Linked DNA regions of Cricetulus griseus. The protein of the gene in region 2 interacts with the protein of the main gene of each other region in a pairwise test. Links are inferred from orthologs where the notes say so. Each region holds a gene or a part of one and is shown on either strand. Other genes may lie near its edges.

Evidence for each region.
Region 1: the proteins of Hoxa1 (region 2) and Trim42 interact in binary tests that used the Homo sapiens proteins (3 or more experiments, as listed by UniProt). The two-hybrid records come from large-scale screens. The link is inferred for Cricetulus griseus from reciprocal best matches to the Homo sapiens genes HOXA1 and TRIM42.
Region 3: the proteins of Hoxa1 (region 2) and Egfl7 interact in binary tests that used the Homo sapiens proteins (3 or more experiments, as listed by UniProt). The link is inferred for Cricetulus griseus from reciprocal best matches to the Homo sapiens genes HOXA1 and EGFL7.

What each region holds. Positions count from the first base shown.
Region 1 is NC_048597.1:205,874,052-205,877,701, reverse strand, and holds part of Trim42 (tripartite motif-containing protein 42), read left to right. Parts: intron 1-1,358; coding exon 1,359-1,583; intron 1,584-3,650.
Region 2 is NC_048601.1:89,186,442-89,190,191, reverse strand, and holds the start of Hoxa1 (homeobox protein Hox-A1), read right to left. Parts: upstream 2,207-3,750; 5' UTR 2,093-2,206; coding exon 1,444-2,092; intron 915-1,443; coding exon 559-914; 3' UTR 1-558. UniProt on the Homo sapiens protein: Sequence-specific transcription factor. Regulates multiple developmental processes including brainstem, inner and outer ear, abducens nerve and cardiovascular development and morphogenesis as well as cognition and behavior.
Region 3 is NC_048599.1:137,982,341-137,985,517, reverse strand, and holds the end of Egfl7 (epidermal growth factor-like protein 7), read right to left. Parts: intron 2,965-3,177; coding exon 2,849-2,964; intron 2,670-2,848; coding exon 2,574-2,669; intron 2,409-2,573; coding exon 2,244-2,408; intron 1,965-2,243; exon of another isoform or gene 1,885-1,964; intron 1,615-1,884; coding exon 1,550-1,614; intron 1,118-1,549; coding exon 955-1,117; intron 839-954; coding exon 816-838; 3' UTR 584-815; downstream 1-583. UniProt on the Homo sapiens protein: Regulates vascular tubulogenesis in vivo. Inhibits platelet-derived growth factor (PDGF)-BB-induced smooth muscle cell migration and promotes endothelial cell adhesion to the extracellular matrix and angiogenesis.

The DNA.
Region 1 (3,650 bases), on a different chromosome or scaffold from region 2:
ATATGTTAACTGTAAGTTAAGAGAATAAGCCAAAGCCATGCAATCCCAATTACATGCATTAGTGTGTTCGTATCTCCTGATAGTAGAAAAGCACTGTAACAAATTAACCTGTAGATTAGGAGGGATGTTTATTTTCTTCCCTTACACTTTTTCTGCATTCCCAAAGCATGTTATCATAAATGTGCTTGTTTGGATAATCAGAAAGAAAATTAGTTTTATTTGCTGGGTAGATTAATTTATACATTTTAGTACTTATAAAATTATACATTAATTGGATCTTATGACATTTAGCTTTTTCCAAAAATATAATAAGAACATTAGTAATCTGCTTTTTCTTCGGATTTTCAAGACACGGTTTCTCTGTGTAGCTCTGACTGTCCTGGAACTCCCTGTAGACCAGGGGGCCTCAAACTCAGAGATCCACCTGCCTCTGCCTCCCGAGTTCAGGGATTAAAGACATGGACCACCACTGCCAGGCTGAAATGTGCTTTTAAAATACTATTTATTTTTAAGGTTTAGTACCAGCAAGATGGTGGCACTTACCACCAAGTCTTACAACCTGAGTCCTGTTCTCAAGGATCCATATGGTAGAAGGAGAGAACAGAGTCCAGCAAGGTGTCCTGTGACCTCCACATGTACTCCATGACACTTAGCATCGTGTGAGTGTACACATGCACACACACATACACACATACATAATATAAATAAATAAATGTAAAAACACTGCTATCATAAACTATTTCTGTGCCAAATGTTATCTGCTATTTGAGACTTACTGCTAAATCTCTTCTCAGGAGTTGACATCTTCTAATTGGAGTACAAACATTCTGTCTCCACTGTTGGATATTTCCTCATGAGTAGAGAAGGAAATAGTTTGCATCCCAGCTCACCCTAAAGGGCTGGGAGATGAGTATGTCACGCTCCCATGTTCTGTGATTTGCTGAAATTTGCCAAATGTTTCCTTTCTCTGTCTGTAAAGTGGGAGGATGAAGTCTGCCTTCCAGAGGTTTCTGAGGGTTACCCGATTTGGAGACAGAGAGCCCAATGTGAGAGCTGGTGTGTAACATGCAGCTGGTAAACTGCATCTGTGGCCGTTGCCTCTGCGTGGACTGACTGGAGGAGAACCCTTTAGAGCAATGCCCATTCCTGAAATTGATTTTGTGTAGCACATCAGGCTTCATCAGAGCTGCCCGAGCCCCTTACCCATGATCTAAGTCAAAGCCCACAGCAGCTGTGGAAGATAGGGTCAGCTTAAGCACACCCCACATACAGTCAATAGCACAAATCTTTAGAGAAGGACAGCCAGGGGTGTATATCAGTGCGTATCAGCGCCCTGCTCACACACCCATTTCTCCTAGGTTTACTGGACATGCCCAACAGAAGACGTGGACTCCTTTGAGATGGAATTCTATGAGCTCATTAATACCCCTCCTAACAATGTTCGAACAGAGCTCTGTGGACAAATTCGGGACATCATGCAGCAGAACCTGGAGCTGCACAACCTGACTCCCAACACAGAGTATTTGTTCAAGGTTAGAGCCATCAACGATAATGGTCCCGGGCAATGGAGTGACATCTGCAAGGTCAGTACATTCATTTCTTAGGTAGATTTTTTTTTATTACTTGGACTTCTTAATTCTTACCAATTTATTGGAGGGGCCCATATGTGCACGCATGCCCACACACTACCCACACATGCACGCCATGGTGTGCACATGGATGTCAGAGGAGAACAACTTGCAAAAGTTAGTTTCATCTCTCTTATGTGGGTCCTGAGGATCAAAGTGAGGTCCTCAGGCTTGTTGTCAAGAGCCTTTGCCAACTGAGCCATCTCTCTGCCCCATCAAGTGGGAATGACTTGATAGGGTCCAGATTTGGCTTGAAGATCATCAGAGAACGGCGAATTCTGCCTCTACACTCAGAAAGCTAAAGTCTCAGCCAGAGGCAGGGCTGCTGGTCTCCACCAGACTGTGCAAACCAGGTCTGAGGATGGTAGGGTCTGCTGAACTCAAAACGACTTGTTCTAGGCTTTATGTTAGAATATAGAAACGCAGAGTTAAAACCAAGCTTAACCCCTCCTTCTGCGGCAGTCAGGAACTAGTAAACACACCATGGTATATGAGGAGAATAAGAAAAACAAACTCCAAGGGAGTGCTACACCCTGCAGAGGCAAGGTGTGAAATTTAGCATAGAGGCAGGACAGTCGGTTAAACCAGAATTTCTCAAAGACAGCAAACAAAACTTGTGGTACAAGTACGCCCTATATAATATTTAAGACATTTATACTAAAATTATTTTTTGTTTAACTGGGAGTTAAAAAACAGACACTGAGCAAGTCCGTTGAGCTCCATAAAGCAAGGAAACAAGCTTCTTCTTTGCACTGGAGAGCTGATTCTTCTTCGAATTCCCAAGTGACACTCATGAATGCCATCAGACTGATATTAAGAATACCAGACTGCCAAGAGCTCTTCTACTATGTAACTGTGAAGATGCTCTTTGGAAGCTGAGTAAGTCTTAGGGGTTCTTTAAAATGTAGAAAGGACAGGTCCATTCACTTGGGGTTTAGAAGAAGGTGGACTTACAGCCTCAAGAAACTTCTAAGATACATCTAGAAGACATGTGTCTGTCTGACCTGACATCCACAAAAACCAAAAAGTTATCCCTCTCCCTCCCCTCCCTGCCCATCACTCTTCTCCACTCCCCCTCCAGTCTCTGCCCCATCCCTTCCCTCCCTTCCTTCCCTCTTCTCTCCCCTCTTCTCCTCTCACCTCTGCTTCCGTCTTCCCGTCTCTTTCCATCTCCCCCTCCCTTTCTCTCCCTTCCCTCTGCTCCCCTCTCTTCTCCTTCTCCTCCTCTCCTGGCCACTTCTCTCTGAATCTGCCTCAGTTTCGGTTACCCCTTAGTTTCTACTCCCTTAAACCCAGCTTTCCTGTACCTTTGGATAGTCTCCATCCATGGCTCAGTACCCATCATTCTGGTTAATCACACTTTAGCAACTTGCTGAGATATTTGAGTGCAAGAATCTGATTGGTCATTGTCTCTAATAATAATGGAGAATGGGAAATAATGACAGGCAGGCATACGTATGCTGCCATGGAGCAAGTCTGCAGAGTAGGCTATTCCCAACACCTCCTACTGTCATGCTTCCTTCCTTCTTCCTCAAAGGTCAGACACATACCAAGGAAGCGTGATGAGAAAGCCTGTCTGGCTACTCTTCAGCTGTTTCTCAGTCAGCCTCCATGCCTGTCGATCAGTCGCCACAGAGACCTCCTCACTCCAGAGCCCCGAAGCCTCACACCTGTGACTACATAATGTACTCTGTGCTCTTGACTGTGGATTTTTCCTGTAATCTGATCCCATCTGCCTCCTCAGCTTTTAGACTCTCTCAGAAATGGCTTGCCCATGAAGGGCACTCAGTAGTTATTTTTTTTTAATGAATCATCTGTCATCTCTTGATGTGAGGATTGGGATGGATAGAGTACTTGAGGACTGCCATCAGTCTGTCATGCTACCTCTTGGGTCTTCCCCTCCCTCTCACACTATGACCTCCTCGAAAACAAAATTCTTGCCTAATTCATCTTTCTTTATCCTGAGGTGCTTACCACAGCAGTTTGCATACAGCAGCTTCTTAATGGTTATTGAGTGGATAC
Region 2 (3,750 bases):
CCAGTTTTGGAAGTTTGCCCACCCTGTTTGATATAGTTCTGCATGTTTCTAGAAAATCTGTATAAAGATAAATCTCTCAAGAGAAAGTTAAGGGGTGAATTAATTGTGTAAACACACTCAGTCAATCTCTTCTTCATGAGCCTTTGGATACTCTCTTTTTTGTGTGTCCTACTTAAGAGCCAGGTAGAGAAGAACAATATACAGATAAAAGGTGAGATGCCTCCCTTCTTCAAATGCCTGCTGGCAAAGGGTACTGTCCTCCAAGGGACATCTGAAAGGAACCATGGGTTGTGTAAAAAAAACTCTCACAACAGTGAGGAAGGAATTTTGGGGGCCACCAGAAATTGATATGGGCACCCGATGTGGATTAAGGATTTAATTTACAACCAAGTCTCCAGAATTCTATGGAACTACATTATGTTGCCCAGGAGCTCTCTGGATTGGACCAGAAAGAAAAAGAGAGACTGTAAAGGAAGAAAGATAAGCTAGAGATGTGCTTTGGGTAAGAAACCCTAGCCCAGGGAGAAGCCTGGACTACGGAGCTGGGCTGGAGTGGCCTCAATGGGAGGTAGGCAGGGTGTCTGAGGTAGATGATGCTGGAGAAGGAACGCAGGGCGAGGAGCTGGATTTCTCAGAAGATTCTTCAGCTTTCTCGTCGCTTCCAGGAGGAGTGGCTGGAGAAATGGGCAGGAGCCCCTCCTTCTCACGCTTCTTCTGCTTCATGCGGCGATTCTGGAACCAGATCTTCACCTGGGTCTCGTTGAGCTGCAGGGACGCGGCTATCTCCACCCTGCGCGCTCGTGTCAGGTACTTGTTGAAGTGGAACTCCTTCTCCAGCTCCGTGAGCTGCTTGGTGGTGAAGTTGGTGCGCACTGCGTTGGGTTGACCCACATAGCCATACTCTCCAACTTTCCCTGGGGTAACGGAGGAAGAGAGGAAAAGGTAAAAATTCTTTAACCCTTATCCGATTGCCCAATGTTCGGGGCAACATTCGGTTAACTGCTCAGCACAAACCCAGCTGGGAAGCTCTAGTGACAAACGATGTGTATGTAAAGTGTTAACCTGAAGTCAACCATTAGCGTGGTCAGGCTTCTGATTAATGGAGCCTGTAGATATTAACAAAACTCCACCACCACCGACACCTCCCACCCACACCACACCACACACACACACACACACACACACACACACACACACACACACACACACACACACGCTTCCTACTTCTAGACCACTGAAGCATCAGCCCCTTTGAAAATGCCAGGTCCAGAAACTGCTTTGCCCCAACACACCTGGGCATCCTACACCACACACTATAACTCCAGAAGACACTAGACAGAAGCAAGAACCCATCTTTTAAAATCATTAACTTTCCTAGGAAACTAAGCGCACCGGCCCCTTTCAAAATCAAGCAACATTTGTTTGCCAGCCGGCAGGACTCACCTGTTTTGGGAGGGTTTCTTTTGACTTTCATCCAGTCAAAGGTCTGCGCTGGAGAAGGCGTCTCTGAAGCAGGGGAGCGACAGGCTTCTTGGTGGCTGGCGTGGAGAGGGGATAAGGAGTTATTATACGTGGCCAGGGCCAGGCTCTGGTGCTCTTGTCCATAAGAGTGGTGGATATACTGAGGCGAGCCCACCGTGCCCCCAGCATAACCCTGGTGGTGGTGGTGGTGGTGATGCTGGACCATGGGAGATGAGAGGTTTCCAGAGTAAACAGCGGGAGCGCACGGGGAGTACCCACCACTTACGTCTGCTTCCTGATTTAATCCATAGGGGCCATAAGGCGCACTGAAGTTCTGCGCGCCATAGCTTGGACCACAACTCGAGTGGGAGTAGGAAACCCCCAGACTCCCAGAAGTCTGGTAAGTAGACGGCTGGGGGTGGTGATGGTGGTGGTGGTGGGGCGAGCTGATCTGCACCCCCCTGCCCACTAGGAAGCGGTCGTCGCCGCCGCAGCTGTTGGCACTGACCGCGCAGGATTGGAAAGTTGTAATCCCATGGTCAGAGGTGTAGGCTCGCGCAGAGCAGGTCCCGGAGTCGCCACTGCCAAGGATGGGATATTCCAGGAAGGAGCTCATTCTTGCATTGTCCATCTGTCACTGAGTGACTGGGTCCTGCGAAGCCCTGGGTGACCGTGCCAACTTTCTCACTTCCTCCATGGGACCAGAGAAGAAAAATGATATGAATGTACAGTGCGCAAGAGGCGGGGCGGGAAGGCGGAGGACTCAAGGGGAAGGACACGTGACTTTGTCAACCAATGGCTGAGCCGCCTGCGAAAGTTTACCGGCTGCGGCGGTGATGGATCACCGTTTCAGTGGCATTTAAATCCCCGGCGCTCCTCAGTCTAGGTGACGCGCGGTCGCCCCCCCAGGCTGCCCGGGCCGCGGCGGCTGCTCCGGCCGCTGCCAGAGCTGACTTGGAGCACTGGGGCCAAGGGGAGTAGAGATTGACTTCTGCGCGCGCCCGACTCTGCTCGCCTCCGCCTCCAGGATGTGGGGGATGGGAGGCGACCCTCCGCGGCCCTTTCCCCACCCAGCCTAGAAAGCTGAACTGACAAGAGGTGAGAGGGGACGAGGCCTCTCGGCTCTCTTGAGGCGGGCCTCGGTAGGCCAGAGCTCTCTGCATGGTCTCAAGGACCCTGGCGGAGCCGGGAGCAAACAGGGTGGGAAGGGTAGGAATCCAGCACACATCATCCCCTCAGCTCGGGATGGCCGCCACCACCCAGTCCCTGCAGAGACTTGAGCCTGGAACCCAGGCGCCTAGGGCAAGGCTGCGTCACTGCCTCACCCGCCTCGGAATGTAGGGGGACGTGCGCAAAGGATTGTCTGGGAGGAATCAGGGTGGGTGTGATGGGGACCAGAGAAAGAAAAGAAGCTACTGTCCTCATCCGGAGGGTCTCAGAGCCCTCTGCCCTGACTCCTACGGGCCAATAGCGTGGCTATGGGAGCTTCTGTAATTCGACCCCAGGGGGGCGGGGGAGCCCTAGGAACCCAGCTCTCTGGGAAAGTCCGGGTGTCTGCTCTCTTCTCTGCCCTCCCTCTTCTCTGGATCTCTTCCCCTTTCTCCTTCCCAGTCAGTCAGCTTTGCTCTTGGTAGTCCCTCAGGATCCGGAGCAACTCTGCTGCTGGAGTTTGAGGGTGGAAGGCAGATGAGAAAGATGACGCTAGCAGACGTGGCCGGCATGAGGGCCGAGCCTGAGCTGCAGGCCTTCTGTCTGCTCTTAGAGACCCAGGAGCTTGCTCGCTCCAGCGTAGGCCTCAGAGGGACGGAGGGACGGGACAGAAGGACGGATCGCACAGTTCTTACAAAGTATGCTGACCTCCCGCGTCACATTTCTCTCTTTCATAAGGGGCTTGCTTGTTAGGAGTGGGAAAACCTCCTCTTGCCACCGCCCCCTATTGCATGTCTGGGGGGTGGGGAGGGACTGGCAGGTGGGAGGGGCAGTGGACAGATGGCTGAGTGGATTGTATACTTTCCAACGGACTGTGTAGTTGCTTGTGTGAACCTTCAGGTCACTCCCCAGAGAGACACGTGCAAATGTGAGCATCATCCCAGGACAGGGGTCCTGTTTTCCATCAACCTCACCCCTACGATGATGCTGATGGTGTTGGTAATTGCTGTTTACTGTTAGGTTTAATGTCAGCCCTAGGCTTGAAGAGAGAAAAGGCCACACAGAGAATGAACGCGTTCTTAAGTAGGAGAAAGTCAGTGATCACCTAAGAAACCTTGCAAGCAATTCTGCACAGGTTTT
Region 3 (3,177 bases), on a different chromosome or scaffold from region 2:
GCCTGCCATCCCCCACTGTCCGATGGTCTCAGTCACAGATCACTGCTGTACTGTTTTGTTTCGTTTTTTTTTTTTTTTTTCTTTTTATAAATGAACTCTGAGAAGTGCCTAGAGACCAGGGGTCTCTTTCAGAGGGTGGGCAAGAACCGCTTCCCAGGTCTCCATTCAAGGATCCAGGGTGGCAAGGATGGTATCTAACCACCCACATGTCCCTTCTCTCGGGCTGCAGTATATAAGTTCCCTGCTCCCCCAAATTGCCTCCAGGGGATGAGCTGTGATCAGTCAGCAGTGCTGTTCTCAGTGAATGTGTGGGGTCCACAGAACTGAAGGGTGACAGATCATGGGCCTGGAGGCATGACCTTGAGGACAGGCTGAAGACCGGTCTTTTAGCCTCTGGCTGTGAGTGGAGTCAGCAAGCCACCAAGGGAAAACTGAGCCTCAGTCTGCCTGCTGCAGCTCCTGTGTGTAGACAGGTGCTTCACTTTACTTGGAGCCTCCAGGATGGGAGTACAGTGCACGCCCAGTCCCAATTCACCCACTGACAGCAGTTCAAGTCCCAGCTTTTATTATGACAAAGATGGGGACAATCCCCACCTCACCTCTGGACAGGGTGCTCGCGTACCTTTCCTGGAAAGCCCTATTGGGAGAGTCACAAGACCCCATGCCCTCTCCCCATGCCCAAGTCCTAGGAACCTGAGAAATAGGGAAAGACAAGCAGGGCTTTCTGCTCACAGGCACCACCAGATAGCACCTGAAGTCCGGCTGGCAGGGATGTAAGGGTGACAGCTTAGTCCAACCTGGGTGACCAGATGCTATCACAGATCTTTTTTGCAAGAGCCTAGAGCAGGAAAGGAAAGAGGGTGCAAACTTGCAAATCTGCCAATCCCCAGGGGTAGTTCCACCCACCCCATGGGTTCCCCAGGATCTTTGTGGGTGGGGAGGTGTGGCACTCACAGGACCCTAGCTGCTCCTCCAAGAAGGAGACCTGCTCACTCAGTGAATCAATGCGGTCCAGCTGCTGGAAGGAGTGGGCCAGCAGGCTGCCAGGGTCTTGTAGCCCATGCTCTGTAGCCCAAGAGGCCAGGCTGTGCAGTGGGGCCAGCACCAACTGCAGTTTCTGTAAGGGAGGTTGCAAAAAGCCAAGTGACCAGGTAGGACCAGTAAGGGTGCGATAAGTCCCCTACTGAGCTGTAGCAGCAGGGGCCCTGCTTACAAATAGAGGGAGCCCAAAACCTAGTAGACACAGGTGTATAACATACCCACAACCTAGTTAAATGGTTTCAGGACCCAGAGACAAGCTAGGAGTCATGGGACCTGTGGCTTGATGATACTTGGAAGAGTCCTGTACAACAGGCTAAGTGGGCTCTGAACCTCAGTTCCTCCCAGGCTGGGGAATCCCACACAGTGCTGCCTGGCATAGTAAGAAAGCCAGAATCCCCACAGCCCTTCCCCATAAAACCCCCAACCATCCTATATGGCTTGGAACCACAGCCCCAGAGACTATGGGGTCTGTGGACACCAGCCAGACTCACTCCCATCCAAGCCTCACCTGCTCCAGCACATCAACCCGGGACTGCAGCCTGTGTACCTCCTCCCTCACCATGCTGTCCACTCCTGGGGGCAGATCGGGTGCTAATCAGGGGAGTTTCCTGCCCCACAACGAGCTCTTAGCCTTAGGAAGCCCTATGTCTGCTGCCACAGCTGTGGGAGCAGAGCCTGGAGATGAGCCTCTGGATGTTGCTGTTAAGTCTCAGGCCCTACCAGAGCACATAACTCAGAGCAGCCCCTGCCTACCCCCACCCCACCCCCACCAGGTACCGAGGTCTTGGGTCTGGCATGCCAGTGGCGATCCTTATGCAGGTCCGGTGCACTCCTGGCGCTGGGCTGCTGACAGCGCATTATTACTCACGGTACGAGTTTGAAGTGTCACAGCGCGTACCAAAAGTAATAATGTGCTGTCACCGGCAAAGACACGGCGTCTCCAGGCTGCCAGACCCAGGGTGGGGCTCATTTTCACTCAGTTGGCTGAGATGAGACTCCAGGTATGCCTGTCTCCCCACAATGCCTTCCAGAAACCTCCCTCCAGCCCGGGATGTCTGGGCTCAGCCCTCGCAGCACAGTGCTGACCTCCACCCAGGGCGAGCTGCCCCCTGTGACCTCCATGCTCAGCTCAACCACAGAACAGTGCTCACAACCCAACAACCACCCAGGTCAGTCACAGTATGGTGGAAAGGCAAGATTACCTGCTGTGGGGCTTGGGGCCACCAAGGAGGGTCGCTCCTTGGGCAGGCAGCGCATTCCATCTACAGACAGGCTTTGCCCCTCCCAACACTCGCACCAGTAACTTCCCACAGTATTGACACAGCGCTGGGGACAGCTGGCCTCTCCGGTACTGCATTCATCCACATCTGTAGGAAATGAAGGTGTTGATCTAGTTGTGTCTACAGAAGGCAAGGTCCTGGCCACAGGCCCCTGTTAGGACCAACTTATCAATGAAAACTGCTTCAGCTGGCAGTAACCTAGAATATACAAGGCACCAAGAAGACCTGTCTTTGAAGAAGAGCGGTGCTTACCTATCTGGCAAGTATCTCCTTGCCATCCCACGGGGCAGCGGCAGTGGCCTGGGCGGATACAACTCCCTCCATTCCCACATGGAGGCTGGCATATTGCTGTGGGTAGAAGAGGCCTGTTTGTCACCAACTCAGGAGGGTCTCCAGAGCCCTGTGACAGCCAGGGAAGGGTTGCCCTGCAGCGAGGATGCACTACTTGGGGGACAGAAGGCAGCAGGGCCTCTGCTGGGCAGCTGGAAGTGGGGTCTTACATTGGGCACAGTGCGCATTGCCCTCACCTGCTCCACAAGCCCCGGGAAGTCCGCTGGTCCTCTTCCAACCAGGGCAGCAGGCATAGTGAGGCCTGGTGGGAGTTGGCCCAGGGCTGCGGCGATAGGCAGTCCGGTAGATGGTTCTGTGGTGAATAAGGGTGGTTCAGAGGGGTCCAACATGGGGTGACCTATGCCAAGTCTTTCTCAGGTAGGATGCACCCTACCCACCTCATCTGTTTGTGGATGATTAGCCAGCATCAGTCCCAGGATCTGAGGTTCCCTTCCCAAGCCCCAGCTCATTTGGCATAGATGGGGTCAGCATACAAGCCTGTGTGTGCCACTCAATCCACCAAGCT